Linked DNA regions of Arabidopsis thaliana. The protein of the gene in region 1 purifies or fractionates together with the protein of each later gene. This does not show direct contact. Each region holds a gene or a part of one and is shown on either strand. Other genes may lie near its edges.

The links. Proteins that work in one complex are often made in the same cells at the same time.
Region 2: the proteins of C2 (region 1) and PYR1 purify together in Arabidopsis thaliana (affinity purification with western blotting, with the first as the bait; one study listed by BioGRID). This does not show direct contact.

Annotation. Positions count from the first base shown.
Region 1 is NC_003074.8:6,146,959-6,154,390, reverse strand, and holds C2 (Calcium-dependent lipid-binding (CaLB domain) family protein), read right to left. Parts: upstream 2,330-7,432; 5' UTR 2,120-2,329; intron 2,043-2,119; 5' UTR 1,975-2,042; coding exon 1,828-1,974; intron 1,744-1,827; coding exon 1,648-1,743; intron 1,567-1,647; coding exon 1,276-1,566; 3' UTR 577-1,275; downstream 1-576. Other genes in the region: TOC64-III (translocon at the outer membrane of chloroplasts 64-III), read right to left, coding at 2,597-2,676, 2,752-2,821, 2,923-2,974, 3,061-3,188, 3,290-3,490, 3,634-3,768, 3,873-4,041, 4,121-4,265 and 5 more; AT3G17950 (uncharacterized protein), read right to left, coding at 7,222-7,432. UniProt on the Arabidopsis thaliana protein: Mediates the transient calcium-dependent interaction of PYR/PYL/RCAR abscisic acid (ABA) receptors with the plasma membrane and thus regulates ABA sensitivity. Stimulates the GTPase/ATPase activities of YchF1, and regulates its subcellular localization.
Region 2 is NC_003075.7:9,924,553-9,931,411, reverse strand, and holds PYR1 (Polyketide cyclase/dehydrase and lipid transport superfamily protein), read right to left. Parts: upstream 2,826-6,859; 5' UTR 2,621-2,825; coding exon 2,045-2,620; 3' UTR 1,537-2,044; downstream 1-1,536. Other genes in the region: AT4G17860 (carboxyl-terminal proteinase-like protein, putative (DUF239)), read left to right, coding at 5,075-5,143, 5,227-5,307, 5,402-5,581, 5,694-5,861, 5,946-5,999, 6,114-6,260, 6,343-6,714. UniProt on the Arabidopsis thaliana protein: Receptor for abscisic acid (ABA) required for ABA-mediated responses such as stomatal closure and germination inhibition. Inhibits the activity of group-A protein phosphatases type 2C (PP2Cs) when activated by ABA. Can be activated by both (-)-ABA and (+)-ABA.

The sequences.
Region 1 (7,432 bases):
GTTTCAGATCTGAGAGCGAAAAGAGTGTGAGAGTGTGATGTTGCCTGCGCGCCCTTTTTTATAGGTGGAAAACGGTGGCGTTACCTTCGACTTCGGCCTTTTTTACAGACTGTAAAATCAAATCAGTCGGTAATTAAACAAATATCTCCATTTTTTTTGTTTTGGTCAAAACCGGTAATAATAATAAGCGTATTTTAGTTAATGTTGTGCTGTCACTCATTTTAAGTTATGGTTTATATATATTTTTAACTACATTTGCAATTGCATTTATATGCAATATATATGTTGACAGATTTTATTCTACAAATAAATCGTTGTTTTGGTAAAAAAATGTTGACTACTTTGGGGAGTTGGTGGAAGAGGAATCTCTAGATCGCTCATTGGGGAACGAGATTTGGGTCCCTTGGGATCTATCAAACTTTATACATAATTTAGAATATATCTCAATACTATCATACTACAGTCGAATCTTTTACTTTATTAAATAGAGAAAAATATCACATACTAGTACTACACTTCACTCTTGTCACGGTCGTTTGACACATTATTGTAAAGTCGCCGTGCCACTCATAGTAAAGGACAATTATGGCTCACGTGTTTTGTCGTTATAAAACCATGGTGCTTCACTCATTAGTGTACATCTGGATTCTCTTCACCTACCATCCCTTTTGTGGCTTCTGGCTTTTTCCCTTCGATATTTTATTCTTTCTTCATCATTATTCTTTATGACCTTAATTAGCGCTAATGTACAAGTAAATCTTGTTCACAAAAATTACATAAGTTGTGCTTCAGTAACGTACACATAAAACCTCCAATGTCAATGGTTTAAAAAAGGCCTATCGATGTCGATGGTAAATGGTAATATGCTGGTCTTTTTTTCACTTTTTACCTATAAACATTAGTACATCACATGTGTTAAAACAATCTACCATTCATAAGTATATGGAACGATAATTAAATAAATAAAATATCTGTATTAGTTGTTCGTGTAAATGCCTTATTTAAGGCATAGCTAGCCCAAATATACATACACATCAACAATACACCACATTTACATATCCACCACCACGACTCGACTTGGACTCGATCACCATATGGGAACAAAACTTCCCTCAACGTTCTTAATCCTTATATTTCCATGGATTAATACGTGTTTCTAGTTCACTATATCCTTCAAGATTGAAATTACTTGTTTTTTTCCATGCTGTTACTTGGTTTAGTTCAATTTGAAAGAAAACAACTCAAAGTAACGGTAAATAAGAAAAGAAAAAAGATTCATAGACCCTTGGAGCCAGGGAGGTCAATCCATTGAAGCTGAGCCTCGACCTCTCCGCATTCCACATGTCGCAATCTGAGAACGAGATCCTGGACGAGCTTGCCGTCGACCCAGGTGACACGTGACTCCTCGGCTAGACAGTTACGACGACTTGGCTTAACCGTGGTCACAATGGTTCCACTAGGAAGTCCATCGAGTTGCATCCTCAAAGCCTCAATATAGGGCTTTATCTCGAACTCAGCATCGCCCATCTTGTCGTCTTTGCTAAACATGTCGTGATCATACACCGTCTACATATAACATTATAGTTTTATCAATATAAACATCTTATGATAAGGAAATTAATGTATGTTTTAGTAAGTAAAAAGTACCAAGAGGACGGTAAGATTGGAGTCTGTGACGGAGAGAGTCAAATCTTCATTCCATTCTGGATTAACATCTTTGTTAATGACACGAGTCTTCAATTTCTGTAAGATTTAATATGATAATTTGAGAATGTTTTTGATGTAATGAAATTGCATGTGAAGTTGTAAAATGATGAATGGATTAACCTGTTTGCCCATCTTGACGACGACGTAAGGATCGCTGCTACTGATGTCACGGACGGCTAAATTGACGCCACGTTTGATACGGATTCTAAGGAGGCCCAAGAGATCGTCCATTAGTGAGCTTGTCCTCGCCGGACACGCCGTTGTCATTTCCTTTATTAATGTTCCTGATTATTTCTTCCTTACTCACTTTCTACAACCCTTTTTTTTTGTTAACGCTGCAACCAACACACGTTTAATTCTCGGGGAAAAGCACAACCGAGATAAAGAAAAAAGGTTAAACGAACCAACTCACCCGTGAAGATAATTCAAAGGTCTCTTTAGTTTCTTTCGTCAGATTTCGTTCCGTTCAAACTATCATCGCTAAATATTAGGGCAGGTCTCTTTGGTTTCTACTCCTCTTTTTTTCTGTTTATTTTTTTTGAGTCGTGGGGAGGAGATAACGTGCGAGAAAAGAAAATGATAAAGACAAGATAGTTAAAGACATGACCTTATTTTTGACGCTACGCTGACTAGAAGTCGACCGGGAATGCCGGTATCCGGTGTTTAAGATTAACATTACTTTTTGATATCCAATTTTAGAGAACGTTTAAAATAAACATCGGATATTATAATTTTCCATTCTCGGCGGACTTGCAAAAGGTATCTCTAGATAAAATGCCTAAATATCAGACGCAAAAGACAAGTGTTGACAAAATTGGCCTATACTCTTGGACAAATTCTAAGGAACAAACGTTTTCTCAATGATCGGTGAGGTACGGACAAAAGAAGCTCACTGGAATTTTCTCAGTCTCTCTGCTGAGAGAGACGCTCGTTTGTTGTTTGGTTCCAGCACAAGTGCGTATCTGAAATCTGCAGAGTTTATGTTATATTCTGCCAGATTCTACAAGGCGAAAAAACAATCAGATTATGTTCTTTAAAGCTTACCTTCTATGGCTCCCTTGCAATCGCCTAACATTTCTCTTGCGGTTCCTCTTCGTAAATAGGCTTTAACATTCTGAAAGAAATCAAAAACGATCTTTGTGTTGTGTGTTCTTACAAAGTAAAGAGTGTTTTTTTTTCAAGAGAAACCTGTTTCTGTGTTTTAATGAAAGTTACCTTCTTGTCGAGGGTGATGGCTTTGGTACAGTCTTCTTCGGCTTGAAGAAAGCTGTATGTAAATGATTTGTCAAGGCAATGCCACATAGAAAGATTTGCTCACTAAAAAGTATTTTTAAGGATCTGAGAAACATTTACCCTCCAAGTTCAAGATATGCAGCAGCTCTGTTACTGTAATAGGTAGCATTGTTGTCACTTAGCTTTATAGCTTCTGAGTATAGACCAATAGCTTTCTGCCATAGTTTCTCTTTGAACGCTTGGTTACCCTGGTTTACATAATCACGGGACACAAAGATATAATAACCACATTAGATTATGGATGATAATGCCATTAAGAAAATGAGACATGCAATGGATATTAATTGACCTTCTCTTTGGCAATCTCGGCTGACTCTTCTTTGGTGATAGCCTTTTTAGAAGATTTGGGATCGGTAACAATACTCGAGTACTCTTGCAAAGATGGATACATTGTCTGCACTGTATCTAGTAAAAAGCGGTCACCACCGTGTCTTCCTATGAAAGAAACTGAAATAGGGCATTTCTCATGATGTCCGAGTGGCACAGTCACCTGAATCATCAGCACGATAAATGTAAGACACATATACTGTGGATTGGTTTTGCTAACACTGACTGGTCAGTGGTTGCTTTTAACATGTGTGAGGGGAACTTTACTAGCATGGCAGGTGAGAGAGAGAAAGAGAGAGATTTAACCTGACAACATCCTGATATGCTAGCAATGCTAAGCAGACTTGAAGCTCGGTTTTGATAGTCTTCAGATGTTATCTCCTTGCTACCAAGTTTTGGAGGAACAGCTGGCAATGTTGGAATTACCAGAATGCCATCATCCTTGATACATAACGTTACAGAGTTGGGAACCATTAGAGATTAGTCAAGAGACATATAAACTAACTCGCTCAAGTTGTGGACATGTCATGGAAGAGCAGGAATACCTTGAGAAGTGAACCAATAGCCACTCGAGTCTCGTTTCTGATAGCATTCAGGTTCTCAGTCTCTTCATTGGTTAGTTCTGGGTTCTCACACACTTGTGATAAAATCACAGGATCAATGGCTGGCTTCACTGTGTTGATCCAATCCCCATGATTTTGAAGGAACTCGTGCCTACAATGCCAATATTGTTATAGAGTGTTCAAAACTAAGATATTTTCATCCTCTGTAGGTGAATAAACAATAGGCACACCTTTGAAGGAGCTGCATCACATTCGCCAGTAGTCTCGATGTTGAGACCTTCGTGTTAGCAATGGCTTTTGTCCTAGCGAACTCTTTCAAGCTAGGAACTTTAGTTTCAAAATAGGTCTCCAAGTTCTGATGCTTTAGCAATTGTCCTAAATATAAAACAAGATAATGCTATTATAATCAGAATTTCTAACAGAGACTGGAGGATCTTCAGGGAGAGTAAAGGGCATACTTCCAAAAAGCTTTTCAGCTGATTTGGTCACCACCTGGGTAATCCGATCCACAGGGATCTTTAACAGCTGAAAACAGTCATCAGCTAGTATGATTTGCCTTGGATTCCGTTGAGTGGCAAATGGAAGTTGCAAGAGTACATGGCCAACACGACGTAGGGTGTTTGGATCGCGGGCAAACCATCCTGAAGCCAAAATCTATTGATCAGAATCAACGTAATGCTCATTTAATGGTCCTAAATATAAATTAGTCATACGAACAAAGGCATCTAAATCTTGCAATGTGATTATACAACAATTGAAACCTAGCCTATATAAGATCCAAATCATTCCACCACAAACAGTATAATTCAAAGATTTATATATCCATACCAACAGAGTCAAGACTTGAAGATACTGGTATGATTCCGGTGTTTGAAATAGCCCCATAAGAAGATTTGAATCCAAGAACGCCACAGTATCCAGCAGGCACTCTTACCCCGCCAACTGTGTCGATGCCTGCAAAGATGCAAGTAATCAAAACTATACTCTGAAAACAATTGAAACCGAACCAACCAGTAGACAGTTGAAATTTTAGATACTGATAGGAGGAGCCAATGACAGACTACCATATAAATTATAAATCCGCATGGAACTATCTTACCATATAGCCATAAGAGTCTAAATCAAGCAATTCTATTAGATGCCAAATAAGTTTCTGCAATATAAATAAATTATCAATCGTTTCAGAAATTTTCTAAGGAAGATTATTGACCATGTTTTGAAAGTTTATGCAATGTTTTGTTTCTCAAAGATACGGTTATCTCATACCAAATTGTCCAAACAAGGAAAAAAGTAGCTACTGAACTCACCTAGAGCAAAATCCACAGCATTTGTTGCTACGGCTACAGCAGCTCCACTGCAAGCGCCACCAGGAATACGAGTAGGAGCTGCAGGATTTGTAGGTGAATCGTAATGCTTGTTTTCTCCACTAATACTGAAGAAAATGAAAACAGCCAAACAAAGGAATTAATATACTAACATCCTGATAAAATAAAAATTTCAACACTGGAATCACAATCTGAATCCTGATACAGGTAACAATTTAACATTATGAAACAGAGACAAACCTAAACGCAAACTCATCAACTACAGTTTTTCCAACACAAGTGGCTCCACCTTCAACGAGAGTTGAAACCACAGGAGATGTTGACGAAGCAGCTTCATGGGTCCTGACCCAGTCTGGATGACCAAATCCAGTCACATACCCTGTAATATCGAATCTGGAAAACAAATGAAAAGGAAAGAAAGAGTAAATTAGCTTTTCAAGAACTTCAAAAGTCAAAAGATCATAGAAGAGAATGAGAGATATACACAGATTAGATAAATAGTCAATCAACATGTTGAGACAGTTATAAGTAGGACTCCATGAATAAGTCGAGGTCAAACTTGGTGACGAATCTAAAACATACAAACACCTAGCAACAGAGATCAAACAGTAGAGCCTTCCAATGAACAGATTCAACAAGTATCGATTTGAAATGAGTTTGACAAAACTAGCAGACACACACACACACACACACACATTTGAATCTACAACAAACACAATTTTCAGTGAAACGGCTCAAAATCAATCAACCATACTTTCGAAAGCTCAGAATCAGACATGTAGTGCGCCGGAGAAGATTACGAGTCGAGTCAACGCAGATTCCAACATTTGTCAAACAAAATTTTGACTCTACCCAAGGAAAAAATCATTCAGCTAAACCCCCAAATATAGATATGATAAACATATGGGAGAAGAAAGGGGGAAACAAGTCAACGGAGACTCACACGTCGGAAACGGCAAAGGTTAGACCGGTGAGAGGATGAGGAGCTTTGGGAGGAGCAGGTTGCGGAGGGGGAAGAAGCATGAGTTTATCGATAAAAGCGCCGAAATCTTCACGGACGGTCTTCTTCAGCTTTTTGGTAAGCATAAGAATCCCAGCGAGACCTAAACCTAGAAGAACCCAGAGATTCGCAGCTTGAGACGCCATCGGTGACGTTTTTGTTCTAGCTGCTGCTGCTGCTGCTTAAGATAAGAGAGATAGACCCTAAGGAGAAGGACGCCAAAGAGTTTTTGTTTAGTGTGTTGCGTTCCCTTTGAGTTTTTATTCTTTTTCCTTCTTCCTTTTTTTAACATCACTCGAGGGTTTATTTTATTTTCGTTTTGTCAACAGTTTTTTATTCACGTTGTAAAACAAAAAATTAATTTTATTAATTGTTTCTTGTTTTTACAGTTTATTTTATTAATTCAATTGGTATAAAATATGGATACACATAACAAACATTTTGCCGTATTTTCGGTTTCTTGTGTGTGTCCACTTGTTCGATAATTTTGCTTCGTCGTTAGGAATCTTCTCCTCTTATGTTATGAGGATGATTTGTGGTTAATTGTTTTACTTTCAGAAATACTAGTGGAAAATTAACCACGAATGTGGCACACTCCTGGCCAGAATCATATTGTGTTTGCCTCAAAATCTGATTTGGTCAAATTATTGTCCAAAGACTGACTAGTATAAAGACGTATTGATGAAATAATTTGAAGCAAAAACTCAATATGATAGAACAACGTTTAGCATTTTAAATAAAAACTCTAATCAAGTGAACAACTCCATTTTACACCAAAAGCTGTGCATGTGTGCCATTCTATATGCTTATCTTTTACTATTGCCATTGTAATTAATCTCCTTCATAATTCTCCTTATCAATCATTATTATTTCTCAAATAATTACTTTGACAATGACTACATTCAACATGTTATATTTTCCACAAACAATGATTCCGATTCGACGAACAAAATACAAAAATTTAAGTCTAAATACAAATAAAAGACACACACATGAACCGACGTATTCATCCTCCACCACCGCTGCATATACCGGTTAAAGATACCGGAAATCTACAAAGGGACGTGGCTACCGGCGTTCCTTCTCCGGTAACCACTTCAGCTGAAGCCGGAGGAAGAACCCTTCCGTCAGCGAACAATGCCCGCTCCCCCATCACCGGCTGCTGATCTTGGTACCGTGCCACCACCGCATCCTCTAGCTCTGCCTCGGCGGAGTTG
Region 2 (6,859 bases), on another chromosome or scaffold:
TATAAATATAAGTCGAGACATCATTTATCAAAATCTACAAAAGGATATCACACAGAAAAAAAAAACACTTTTTAACACAAAACGTAATTAGGACATTACGCAACATCTAACGTGTCCAACCCTAATTGAGCGTCAAAAGGTTTTAGAAATTTCTAAATTATTATAGGCTATAATCTACTCCTTAGCAGTTTCAAATGTATGCACTACATTTCGTAAGGAATCACTGTCCATCTACTAGACTGCTCTCTAATTCTTCTCTTTAGTCATTGCTATCATCGTTTTGCGATGAAGATGACTTTGAAGACTCGAGCGAGGAGTGGTTTGTTGTCTTTGCCAAGAGAGCTGTGACCGCTATTGAGTCTTCCGTACATACAACAACATTTATTGAATCTTTCATTCATAACTAGATGAGTAAAAATACTTAGTTATATAATTGTATCATGCTATTGTTATTTACAACAATCGTCATTTCGACTAAATTTTTTGATTATCCCAATATTTGATATTATACATTTCTACCACCTAAATATATATTAGGTATTTGGCACATTGTCTCTAGGGAAAAGTCTAATTCGATATACCTACTTTGCTAATTAATTATCTGATAATTTAATAAACCATTAGACTTTCCATAACATGATAATTTCAACGTATAATTTGATATATAAATATTATTCAGATTTAGATCTCGTTGTCGTAACTAAAAAAATGAAAGAAAGATTTGACGTTAACGATGATAATGATTAAAGTAGGTGAGGATGCTCAAAATATCGATCTTCTAATTGGCTCAACCATCCATCATCAACTTCAAGACTTCAAGTACATGCAATTAGTAGTATTCCTTCATTTTCCACTTTTTGCGCAAATATAATACTACTAATTTTTCAATCTACCTTTGTGTCGGCGTTTAATAACCAAGTTGGCAACTTGCAACATTTAACCAAGCTGGCACAACTTGCACCAACATCATCATCACCTTTGCCTTAATTAGAAGATCTTCGTCTTAAGTTTGCAAATAGGAAATTAAAAATAGTACTATACAAAATATAAAAGTGGCCTTTCGCTATTGTCTCGATCCAGCTGAAATTCGATAATAAAATATACAAATTGTTATAGTATCATATAATGGATTCCCCACATCAAATTTTGTAACAATAAATTATATAAAACATGATGGTGATATATTCAAGTCAAGTGGGACACTAGCCTGACTATAGTGCAAAAGGTAACCCGAATCTGAATGAAAAACGGCACACACTTTTAAAACCATCTTCGTTAAAACTTAAAACACTTCCACTTATGGTTTTTTTAGTCTTCTCTATCTCTTCCTTCACAATTTGTTTTATCGTTTTACCACTCTTAAAAAAGTTGTTGTTTGGTTAATAAATCGGGAGTTCATGTGTTACAAAGTTTTTTTTTTTTTTGGCAACCGATATGTTACAAAGTTTGTTCATGGGAAAAAAAACTAAAGTTTTGTTCATGGACATTATGTAAAAGTAATCGATAAAAAAGCGAAATCTATGAAAAGTAATTACAATTTCATACGAATCACACACTAAATCTACCATACTTAAAGCAATAACAGCAAAAAACACGTGAAAAAAATCTTATCCCCATGTTTTTTTAACAAAAGGAAAAGAAAAGGAAAACCTTTCTTTTTTTTTACATTCAAAGAAAAGTAAAACCTTACACGAATGGTTATTTACTTTTTTTTTTTTTGTGTCAAATAAACCTTTGGTAACTTTATAGTAAGTTTTTTTGTAACTTTTTATGAGAGTTTGTTGCATAGCCGAAAATTTTGACTTACTCGCCGGAATATACCTAACGAAAATGGAAAGATTCATAGTTATCCACAAACATAAAATGCCCAAAATAACCTTGCACGTCATTCTCATCATAAGAAAATGGTAAAAATATGACTATATGAGGTTAAAAAAGCAAAAACAGACAAAAGAAGAAGAGAATCTTATACGAAGCAACATAAATAACATTTCTGGATTTTGTTTTTAATAAAAGAAATTAAATCATATTTTTTTCTTCATTTTCACGTCACCTGAGAACCACTTCCGTCACCGGAGTTACGAGCCATAGCTTCAGCAACCGTCGCGAGTTTCTGCAAATTAAGCTTCACAACCGTATCAGCAAACATACGAGTATCATCCTCCGAGTTACCTTCCGGCATATCAACGACGTAAGATTCCAAAACCACCGTCCAGATCCGATTCTCTTTCTCGAACCGATGCACCGTCGTAACGGATTTGTAATTCGTCAGCCTATGTTCGCCTCCGATGATACTGAATCCGGTAACTCTCCGTTCGTCGTCGAGTATATCGAGTCTTTCCGTTGATGTGTTCGCCGGTAATCCACTGATGACGATCACGTCGCGCGTGCATCCGACGCGCATCTCGAAGTTTTGTTCGACGGAGCAGGATTTGATGAAGTGTTTGTATGTTTGTGGTTTGTCGAATCGTCGTACGATTGACCAGACGAGTTCCGGAGGCGCGTGGATTCGTTGCGCGTGGAGTGATGAACAGCTTCCTGGATCGAGTTGGTATGTGTGGAACTCGGCGATTGAGTTTTTTAGTTCCGATCGTTCTTCTGGTGTTAACTCCGAAGGCATGGTTGTAATTTGGATCTTTTTTTTTTTTTTGTGAAGTTTTTTTTGTTTTGTTTTATTTATCCAATTGGTTTGAGATTCACCATTGAAGACGACGACGAGCTTTTAGACTCTCTCTCTCTTTATTTAGCGTTGAAATCTCTCTGTGTTGGATTTTAGAGGGAAGATGAAGGGTAAACATGGAATTATATTAAATAGTAAGGGTAAAGTAAGAAATATATATACGTGAGAGTGGAAGGGTGTATAATGCAAAAAATGGAATCTGTTTATATTTAAAGAAAGATGACCTGGAGTTTCTGTTATAAACTATTGGATTTGTTACTTATTCAAGAGAATAAGTCTTATTTTCGTATAAGTTTCTTTTTTTTTAAAGAGTGTGGTGATTTTATTTTATTGTTTAAGAACTCATATTCGTAGGTTTTATTTGGTGAAAAAAATGAAATCTTAGAGATGAAAATTGTTTGTAGTTTTTTATTTTGTCATTTGAAATTATCAAAAACAATTTCATATTTTTATAAGTTTTGTTTATATGTTTCTTTAGTCGTTGAAAACAAATATACTCACGTTTCATTAATTCTTTTAGATATCATTTTGGTTGGGTATTATATTTAGTGACAAATCTAATGAATCTTTGACAAATCTACAATTTGCAACAATAAAATTATTTTTCTTTAACAATAAAATAAAAAGATTTTTTTATAACTAAAAATAAATATATATGCAAAGGAGTTGTGATTATTAAAAAAATAAATTAAGTGTCGTTAGCTCAATTGGTAAAGATTTTAGGCGAACCTTAGAGGTCGCCAGTTCGAGTGACGCTTGAGACGAAACTAATATTACATTATGTGGTTTCGGGTCTAGAGGGATTACGGACTTCGGTCCAGAACCTCCTGTTATTCAAAAATAAAATTAAAAAAATAAAAAAGAGAAATATATTATATTTAATAAACATTAAATAAATAACATTTTAAGAGGAGTTTTTAAAAAGATGATATAAAGATCAACTTTTTTGGACTTGATTCACACTTGTTCTTAAAAAAAAGTTGTAGGGAGAAAATTTTGGGAGAGAAACGGTGGAAGAGGACATCCGAGAGAGACCTTATTATACAGTACAAGATTTACTAGGAACAAACAAGTGGAGAGGAATCTTTTAGCAAGGTGGTAGGGAAGAGACTTCAAAGAGAAAACTCGCAGAGAAAATGCTCCGAGAACAGATTGATAAGAAAAAGGCATGAACAAGTTTGACAAGGAAGAGCCCTTCATAAGGATGCCATTTTAATTTTGAAGTTAAAAGTAGTAAAATTATTTTTAATATATTTATTACGCAAACACCTTGTTATTGAGTTTATAAGCACTTGTTGATTACTGAAAGAATCAAAGAATTGGTAACAAATTTACATGATATATACATTATGTAGGGAAGACAAGAAAGATTTCGAGTTTGAACTCAACAAATGGGTGGGGGCTGGAGCGCAAGCTGTGTTTAGTAAAAGTAGAGAATGATTAGTTTAGTCAAGCTTGCGTTTGGCTTAATCATAAAGAAAAGAATGTGACTAACTAACGATATCCAATCCACTTGGTCTATAAGTATATGTATACTAACAATTTTGTCGGAAATTGAGCTTAAACATTGTGTGAGACTTGTTGCGGGTATGGTGGGTCGTCGGAAAGGGAGCGGAGATGTGAACCGAATACTTCCGTCGATGGTTCCGGTTCAGTGCCACTGCCGCAACGCCGTAGGTCATGTATTTGCTGGTATTATTGCTTCGAATCATTGCTAGTGGTCTTCAACAAGATCTGATCCTCCCATTTGGTGAAGGCTTCATTTTTTGTTTTTATCTCCTTTTTGGAATTGTTTGCCATGTGTAGGAGCCCAATGCTTTGCCCATTTCTTGGGAGACCCATTGATGAATTTTAATTAAAAAAATTCTATGCTGTTTCATGTTATAAAAATATATTAGTATGCAGTTTTATTTTTTATTAACAAAAAAAATAAAAGGTAAAATATTAATATTAAAATGTAATAGTATCTCCATTAGTATCTAAATCAATGCGTATATACTAAATACTAATACATTTAAACTAAAATGTTAAAAATAACGTTTGGAAAACATGTATAATAACTATATATATTACGTTTTATTTTGATTTGTGTGAGTCATGCATTTTTTGGAGATAGGATATTAAATTGCAACAATTAGCGATTATTATAAGCTATAGAAGCTAAGTACGAAATATCATTGCAAATTAGGAACAAAATCATCAGAAACTTGACTTTCTGTTGGCAATCATGTCTCTTTTGGTATAATCACTTTAATATAATTCAGTGACGCTGACTTAAGACCAGATAACGTTAAGAGTTTGGATTTCTTTAGTAATTTGTCAAGATTATATATACAATATACTACACTATGTTAGTTTTGGAAAGCAGATTAAGATCGATCAAAACAATAATCTATGGCTTCGTACTGTTTATTATACATCTTCATATATCTTTGTTCTTATCACATTGCTCAAACAGTTCAGGTAGCAAAAGAAACAAAATTTCGATATTCAGTTAATACATTATTTGCATGTAATTTGACTCATATATCTAATGTTTATCGCAGAAAGAAATAGAATACGAATGTGTGGATATCTATAAGCAACCTGCATTTCAACATCCATTGATGAAAGATCACCAAATCCAGGTATGTGGGTTCATGATCATTAGAAAGATGAGTTTATCTATACACAATTTCATATCAAAATTATTTATCAAGTGCTTATTTGTCTCTATCCTAGATGAGACCAAGTGTCGATTTTCAAACCACGGTATCGACGGAGCCGGAAACATCAGATTTATTCACTGGTAAAGCAGAAGAAAGGTGTCCTAAAGGACAAGTACCAATTCACATACCGCAAATTAACTATACTAATGACTTTGTCCAACCGAATAGAATAATTACAGAAGCCAATCTACATGTAAGTATTTTAACCACGATGTTAAACTACAGTATTTTAAAAATAGTTATAGAATTTGTTTTTGCGACTTTTTATATATAATTTACTAACATGATAAATTATTTTTGGTTAGTATGCAATTATTAGACCATTTGAGAATTACACAAAGATATGGGGTGGAGCGCAAGCGGTTTTCAATATTTACAAACCACGAGTATTGAGAAATCAATTTAGTAAAGCTTGGATTTGGCTAAATCACAGAGAAAAAGATGTAATAAGCAGCATCCAATTTGGTTGGGCAGTAAGTATACTACAAAACCTAGCTGTCCATAAGAATCATCATATGCCGAATTAAGAACTTATCGCACAATTGATCTTCTTTTAGGTGCATATAGGATTGTACCGAGATGATCGCCCAAGGTTAACAACATACTGGATAGTAAGTGATCTTTACTTTATATTTCAATTCAAATGTCAAGCTTAATGACTTTTAATATCTTTCGTTTTTGATGTGCTAGTTATCAAATAAGTACTTATTATTTATATATTACAGTCAAATCGACACCAAAACGGATGCTACAATGTGTTATGTCGAGGAGGATATGTCCAAGTCCATAAGACAATCTACCCCGGTATGGCTTACAATAAAATTAGTGTCTTAGGCAAAAGACAGTCCACTGCTCATCTTCTCGTCGGTCAGGTAAAAAACATATAGTAACAAAATATATTTAAATATTTAGTAGGTTATATATAGAACTTATATATGTACACCAATCATACAGGATTCCAGAACAAAAAACTGGTTATTGATGACGAGAAAAACCTTGATAGGCTATTGGCCCTATCAAATTTTTTCGATGCAAGGAGTATCACAAGTTTTCTTCGGCGGATATACAGGGGGGTTAGCTGGAGCTATCAGCCCTCCTATGGGGGCAGGAACTTTTCCGAGACAAGTAGGATATCGAAACAAGTTTGCATGTTTCATGAAACAACTTAAGTATTTTGAGGATAAAAGACTAGTAGATATTGATTCGAACGAGTTTGAGGAATATGTGGATAGTCCAAAGTGTTACGATGTATGGTATCGCGAGTTTGAAATACGAAGTGGAGAGATGCTAACCTTCGGTGGACCTGGTGGACAATGTGGTATCTAATCAATGGTTTCTTTGTTGTTGTTCTTTTTTTCCATTTTAGCTTATCTTGTTATTGTTTTTTTTTTAACACAGATTATATTGTTATTGTTGCTTCGTAATAATAGTGCTAATAATTTGTAGGTATGATTTTATGGCATTTTTTATT